Arabidopsis thaliana: one gene and its partner. The protein of the gene in region 2 interacts with the protein of the main gene of each other region in a pairwise test. Each region holds a gene or a part of one and is shown on either strand. Other genes may lie near its edges.

Region 1 (3,932 bases), about 12 Mb from region 2:
AACACAACGCAGATCAAATTTGAAAGCAGAGGCCTACCTGGAGGATTGTAAGAGCCATCAATTTGTTTCTTATCTTGGCTCACCTGATAATTCTAGATGAAGACAATGTCAGTCACAGGCTCTTTTATAAAAGTTTGGACTTAGCCAATGAGATAGCTCTGGAGGTATGATGTAGTTGAACACATGGAAAAAGATAGCCAAACAGTGAAGGAACTTTGATGATAAAAACAACACACAAAAGTATTTCTTACCCCAAACTTTAATAAAATTCATTCTGCCTAAAAAACCTCTCATATATAGAAGAATTTTTTTGATGTGCAAATTACGCATATAACACATAAGAAATTCCTGAACCAAGGAATACTTAAGACCATAAACTTTAGAAAAACTAGCCTATAACCAAAATTCTGAGCCAAAGAATCCTCATGATGAAACTAACAGGAAGCGTCATATAGATGCACCATAACCAGATTATCAGAATATCAATGTTACTATGACTGAAACCCACCTCTTGGGTGCAATAATTACCGTTGCCCGAGTAGTCCTTGCTTCTACAAGGAATGGAATGTTCGCCAAACCCGTTCCCTAGAAAATATAATTATAGAGAGTTAGAGACTATTATACACAACTTGTAAACACTTGGAAACTGACAAATTGTGGAGGTCGGAATCAACCAAAAATACCTGATTCATCACATAGAGGGAATTGGGAATCATCCATGTTCAGATATGAACCATTATGTATAACTCCAGGAATCTCTGAAAGTGATATCTGATACTCATTCGTATTATACTGTAAAGGCATAACATCATTTGATTTATATGAATTTATATGGTGTGCAGGAACTTTTTTAATTCTATCCATAGTTTCAAACGCAAGTTTAGTGTGGATATCATTAGATGTCCCAGACAGCTGTCCACAGGACCCTTCAAAAGATGCATCTTCATTTCCAAATGACTGACATTTTTTCTCCCACTGCATCCAGCATGAATAGAATTTCATTAGAGATTTCAACGAATAACATGGCTACACTCTTAAACCGCAAAGGTTGCAATTGAGATCTGTAAAAACAGAAGAGCATAATATTCAAGTAAATAGTGCATACCTTAGCTACATCAGCTTCTGAAATTCGGAACTCGTCTATGCAATCCATTGCCGGGCCATTTTTCGACAGAAATTGCTTGATATTCTTAAGATGATCGGAACTTGCGAAGTGATTGATAGCCTTAGAACTGATACAAAGTTTCCAAACAAAGTATTATGTGCAGTCAAATAAATCAATTATCATCAGAAGACGCATCAGTTTAGATACAATCCCAGTTTTCTAGCACAGTTTCAATCAACTCTTGCGCACTCTGATTCTACATTCAAATAAAGTAACACAGCTACTAATGTTCGCACAACAATGAACCCAAATCAAACAAACAGTCACAAATCGAGAGGAAAGAGAAAACGGAATGGCATACCAGGCGAAGGAGCTACCGAGCTCAACAATGTCCTCATCGCAGAAGACACACCAAACACGGTTTTGCGACTGCTCTTGTGGCCGTAGAACGCTAGGGTTCTTCAGGAAGAATCTGACGTCAGCTATCTTCGATCTGAATCGATCGAGTAAGGAAGAGAGGGAACTTTTGTGGCGAGGGAAGTACTTGTGGCGCGAGCCTTGGTCGTGATGAAACCGGCACACCGTGCAGAACTCGATTTCGCTCTTTTTCGATGGTTTCTTCATCTTCTTCTTCTTTCTTTCCAAAGTGACCCGAATTAGTGATGCGATTACAGCGCGATTGAAACCGAAGCCACGGTTGCCAAATTTAACAATCAAGCTTTATTAATTTCCGGTTCAAAGCCGGTCCGACCCGGATCAGCCTAATGTACATAAGTCTGAATAAAACGAAAATCCGTTTTTTCCGTTATCATTATTTGTTTTTAAAACAGTATGAACTATCATTAAGAAAAAACTGTTAGAATATTAAAAAGAAACTGTTAGAATATTCCTGACTAAAGATTTGACGGTGAAAGAAAATATTTGATTTTGTTTAATTCGATAGACATGAATCAATTTTGGGATTCCTAGATATATCCTGATTATAATATATATATATATACCTTTCTGGTTTTGTTTCTCAGTCACAACAAAGGAAAAACAAAAAAAAATATGGCTAGAGTTTTAGGTGTGCTTCTGTGTTTACTCGCACTGTTCAGCTCGAGCTTATGTTTGGATCATGCCAATGGTCGTGGAGATCAAGCACTTGCTCAAATTAATGTTTACGAAACAAGTCTTGCTTTAGATAGTTCTGTCAAACTTCACGCTTCGCCTCAAGTTCTTGGTTCCCAGGTTCCAATAACAAATTCTTTCATCATATTATTGTTCTTGTCAGATTCTTGTTTGACAGATATATATTAACTCTTAAGAGATGGTTTTTTTAAATGTCAAAAAAATTGTATGATAGACTTGAATATGTTTTCTTGATTTCACGTAATTATCACAAAAACCAAACTTAAATAGATATGTTATTGATGTCATGACTTTGATCTTACAGGGTGAAGATACAGAATGGGTAAATCTTGCTATCTCCAACCCCAAGCCCACTTCAGATGATTGGATAGGAGTTTTCTCTCCAGCAAAATTCGAGTATTTTTTCTAATCTGCATCTGTGTTTGTTAACTTGTGAACGTGCCATTTGTGCATTATTAACTTGTCTTTGTTGTTTGTTAGTTCGGGTAACTGTTGGCCAACAAGTGGTGGCAAAGAGAAAACTCCTTACATATGCTCTTCTCCCATCAAGGTTTGGTTTATTACATATTTACCAGTGATTTTTTTTTTTTTTTTAAGTCCCGGTGTAACATTCCCCTTTTAATTTCTATTTGGCAGTACATGTATTGTAATTCTCATCCAGATTACATGAAGTCCGGGAATGTGACTCTCAAGTTCCAGATTATAAATCAGAGAGCTGATGTCTCCTTTGCACTGTTTTCCAATGGAGTTCAAGAGGTAGGTTATAACTATAGTTTTTCTCAGTTTAGTATTTTGTATATCAAGTGGACTTAATTATTGATCTTTTGAATATCACAGCCACACCTTCTCGGGGTTTCGAATCCTGTAGCTTTCTTCAATCCTAAAGCACCTGTCTATCCGCGTCTTGCATTAGGGAAGAATTGGGACGAAGTAAGTTTTTCCACTCAATGGCCTTGAGACTTCTGAAGCAGCTATACAATATTTGGGATCTTTAGCTAAAACTTGCTTATTTTTCTATCTTTGATAGATGACCGTGACATGGACTAGTGGGTACAACATAGATGAGGCTGTTCCTTTCATTGAATGGAGTGCAAAGGGACTTCCAGCTAGAAGATCACCAGCTGGAACATTGACCTTTAACAGAAACAGCATGTGTGGTATGTCCTGTTTCGCTGTGATCTCTGAGCCAGCAGTCCTGGAATATCTGAAACTACTCATCTGGATCATTCTAGAGATTTGATTTGTGGATGCATGCTATGTTTACACAGGTAATCCTGCTCGCGGCGTTGGTTGGCGTGATCCTGGTTTCTTCCATACTTCTTTCTTGAAAGAACTTTGGCCAAACCGCGAGTATGAAATCTTTAGTTTGCTTCTTTATCGTCTAATCCAGGAGCACTAATATAGTTTCATACATGTAACTCTCAATCCTTTGGTTTACAGATACATATACAGGCTAGGCCATGACTTGGTCAATGGTTCCACAATTTGGAGCAAGAATTACACCTTTGTGTCCTCTCCTTATCCTGGACAAGACTCGAAACAACGGGTCATAATATTTGGTGACATGGGAAAGGTATGGTATCGTCTCTTTTAGGCCATTATGATCTCCATGCGCTCTCAGACTAATATCTAAAATGATTTTCCTTGATTGAAATATGTTTCAGGGTGAGCGAGATGGCTCGAATGAGTACAATGA
Region 2 (3,932 bases):
ATACATTAAGGAAATCAACTTATAAAGGAAATGAACTCGTAAGAAAGAAAAAAAATAACATTACAAGAAAAACCTCGACTCGCTAAACATCTTGCTTCATTTTGGGCTTTAACGGTCTGTATATCTACACTCTGCACATTCAAGAGAGCAGGAGTATTCATTCGTGGCTCCAAGTGTCTTCAAGATGATAGGAAAAATACAATGCATCTTACACCAGCTGCAAAATGGACGAGATATACTATTATTGAGCACCACCTCATATGAAGTGCCCTCAATTTTTATTGTGCTTCTTCGCATGAGACTTGAAAGGTCTCCAAGCACACACTTTGTATGCAAACTAGCCTGATGATCTTTACACGTATAGAACCATGTATGTGGATTTGTTTCTTTTTCACAAATGTCACACCAATATTTACCACTTGCCTTTTCGCCATAGCATAGTGAGAGAGGATGATCATGAACTCTATGCTTTACCATTTGTGGTAAAGTGGCGCATCCAAAGCATAATAAAAATCCACAATTATCTTCAATGCAACTAAGCACAAAGTCCTGCTCCATGTTGCAACCAGTGCACCATTGTACTTCGTCTGATGGAAAGTAATATAAGGGATGATTAGGATGACTTGGATGGATATGTGGCTCAGAAATTGAAATGCACCGAACATCGAATGCCTTATTCCCATGCTGGTACTTGAAACCATTGGACAATCTATCACAAGCATAACACCTAAAGCCTTCATCCTTGTTTGTAACCAACGTAAGACGTTCATTGTGTAGCACATGCCATTTCATTCTAAGAAATCCAGCGCAGTTTTGGTGGAGAATGAAGTTACAATCCATACAGCCGTAGAAAGACTGGAGACAGATGGGATGGGTGCATGCCTTGCACCGCTTGTTGTCATCACATAGAACACCATTAACGTTGAGTCTTAGGTAATGCTCTTTGTGACTAAAATGTTGTATTGTGTTTTCATCTATCACCACATATGGCTCTATATCTTCTGTTTCTTCGGGTAATCCTTCAAGTTCTTTCCCATTCCACACATCTTTTCTAGTAGCACATTTTGAATGAACAACATAGCCATGACACCTCTGACAAGAAAAACCTCCATAAGACCAGTCCACCTTTTTGCGACAAACTCCACATACAGAATTCACAACACCAAGAACAGAAGTTCGAGAAACACGGTGATCATGCCGGTTAATGTTGATGAGGCGTGGAAGGCCAAGACAGTCTTGATGGATCATGAAACCACATTGAAAACATACGTAAGGGCTACGATCTCCCTTCAGCCCGCAAGCATTGCATGTAAAAGAATCGAGTTTTGGGAGAAGGGTGAGTTGGTGATCATGAGCTTTCAAATTCAGAAGAGATTGTTGTGGTGGGCGCAAAACACAAACCTTGTCCAAGGTAAAGTTACACGGAGAACAATGGAAAAAAAATGTTTCATCAATCTTTCTTGCGCAAAGACGACATTTCCCATCAGAATAATCCGGTAACTGACCCTTTGCGTAGAGTTTAAGAGGGTGTAAAGAGTGGTAAGAATGGTTTACCTCTAAACGGAGTTCTAGTTCGGGCGGATACCATACGCAATCCACATGAAAGGATAAATCACATTCATGACAATTGTAAGGAAACTCATTACCAATAATCTTGCAACATTTAGCACATATACATTGCTTGATCCACTTCTTGAGAAGGGTAAGCCTGTGGTGATGCGTCTTGGAAATGTCAATAACCTCTGGTGGTGGATACTTTGAGCAGTATAAATCCATGTCGAAGTCACATAGATCACAACGATAGAATATTGGGCACATCCTTCCACACAAATTGCAGAAATTAGTAGGTCTTTCAGGTCTTAGCAGCTGAAGAGTGTGCTTGGGGTGAGATGGATGCTTGATATATTCGGAGGGCTCGTCAGCACAATTTTTTCGGACGAAAAAATCGCAGGTTTTGCAGTAGTATCCATCACTGATAGCTTCAAAGCGTCCACAGCAACCACAGCAAGGACCTCTTTTCAGATTTTTCCAAGGCATCATAAGATGCTCGTGGATCAACGGCATTAACACTCCCTTAGAATCCATGGTCGTTTACTAAGAGATTTTGAAGAAGAAGAAGTTGGATATGAAATCTCAAAGCTAAGTTTCTTTCACGTTTCTCTCTCTCTCTCAAAAGTCTTCTCTCTTTAATTTCAACGATGCTCTTATGAAAAAGAAGATTGGATCTGAAATCTCAAAGCTAAGCTCCTTTCTCTCTCAAAAGTCTTCTCTGCGTTAATCTCAAATCCTCAACGATGCCCTTACAAAATTATTTTTTTATTAGACTTTTGGTTTTATTGGTCTTTCATTAACAATAAAAAATAATTAGGCCCAAAACCCGCACCGTGCCGGTTTTTTCATGCATTTTGTTAGTTATAATAATTAATAATTTACATCAACTGAATTAATTTTATAAACAATCGTTTTGGTGTTTTTTTCTATGATTATCATTTTGATGTATCTTCTAACTCTCAAGTAAATGATTCATTCTATTTATTATGTTTATTTATTTATTTTTAGTTACAATGTTTAATATTTATTTACAATTACTTAACTTAGATATACAAAAAAATAAATTATTATCTTTAAAGTATTTTAAGGGTTTTGTGCAAAAACCACTATACCTCATCCATTTTTGCAACTTCAACCTCTACCTCCATCAAATACAGATTAATCATTAACAATATAAAATAATATGCATTATAACCCTCTTTTGCCTTTTTTTTTGTTACCAACAATTTTGTAAAATATCGATAATAATATGTTAAATTAAAACTTTCGCGAAGAAGAATTTAACTTTACCTTCAAAATTTTAAAAATCTAATGTATATAACCGTAAAAACGTTTACAATATATATATATATATAAAGATCATATTTTGTATTATTTTAGACTTCATAAAAATAATCTGCATTTATTGGAGGTAGAAAATAAAGTTGCAAAATGGATGAGTTAGCACAAAACCTTATTTAAAAGTAAACGGAAAAATAGTTTTACAATATCAATCATTAGTATTATTTTATTAAAATGAACCACTAGTTTAAAATAGTCAATTTTTAATTCTTTAGTCGTATCAATTAGCACTATTTATATAAAAAATGAAAATGAAAGAAATCTAAAAACATTGGATTCGGATCCATTTTTAAACTCTGAACTATTTTTTTATGAGCTGGATATCTCAATTATTTTTTAATTCACTAGATCTTGGAATTAATATTCATATTAACGTTTGAAACAGCTAGATCGTCAAAGTCAAAATTGCAACATTCATAGATAAATAATACATGAAGGAAATCAACTTATTATAATGGAAATGAACATGTAAAAGAAATGGTACAAGAAATCTAAAAGAAAAGCCCACTCTCTGGACATCTTGATTCATATGCATTACATAGCGCAATAACCAGTAGTTGGCATTATGTTCAATACAACGGCGTAAGTAAAGATCCTTCATTCCAAAGACAAGGCATAATTGTTTGAAACAGCTGATCATATCAAATTAAAATTGCAAGTTTCTTAGATCTAATTTCTTTTTTTTTTCTTTTCAAAAGAAAGACACAAATCTTGGCTTGCCTTAAAACGTGTGTACATGTTGATAAAACATTTTCATTTCGGTCTCTAGATTCTGCGAATAATAATGAATGGAGTCTGTGTTTGGTTTCATGTTGAATCAATCAAGATGTGTTTTTAACTGTAAATGAATTATGCAGAAAACATCTGTCCTGGTTCTCAGACATCGGAACTCTGTTCCTAATAAAAACTGAAGTCCCTGTTTTTATGTTAGTAATCTGAAACAACAATTGTTTGAAGACGCCATTGCCAAGATTTCTTGCAACAATGGTTTACTTTCTTACTATTTCTAATGATCCTGAAACAGACTATACAATACGTTG

Evidence for each region.
Region 1: the proteins of AT4G01920 (region 2) and TTL interact in a two-hybrid assay, tested with the Arabidopsis thaliana proteins (one large-scale study listed by BioGRID).

What each region holds. Positions count from the first base shown.
Region 1 is NC_003075.7:12,812,664-12,816,595, reverse strand, and holds the start of TTL (coiled coil protein), read right to left. Parts: upstream 1,791-3,932; 5' UTR 1,730-1,790; coding exon 1,467-1,729; intron 1,233-1,466; coding exon 1,106-1,232; intron 976-1,105; coding exon 684-975; intron 586-683; coding exon 509-585; intron 93-508; coding exon 38-92; intron 1-37. Other genes in the region: PAP24 (purple acid phosphatase 24), read left to right, coding at 2,156-2,335, 2,541-2,632, 2,717-2,786, 2,873-2,992, 3,074-3,166, 3,264-3,393, 3,505-3,586, 3,677-3,809 and 1 more. UniProt on the Arabidopsis thaliana protein: Key regulator for endosperm and embryo nuclear divisions.
Region 2 is NC_003075.7:828,995-832,926, forward strand, and holds the start of AT4G01920 (Cysteine/Histidine-rich C1 domain family protein), read right to left. Parts: upstream 2,295-3,932; 5' UTR 2,086-2,294; coding exon 109-2,085; 3' UTR 1-108.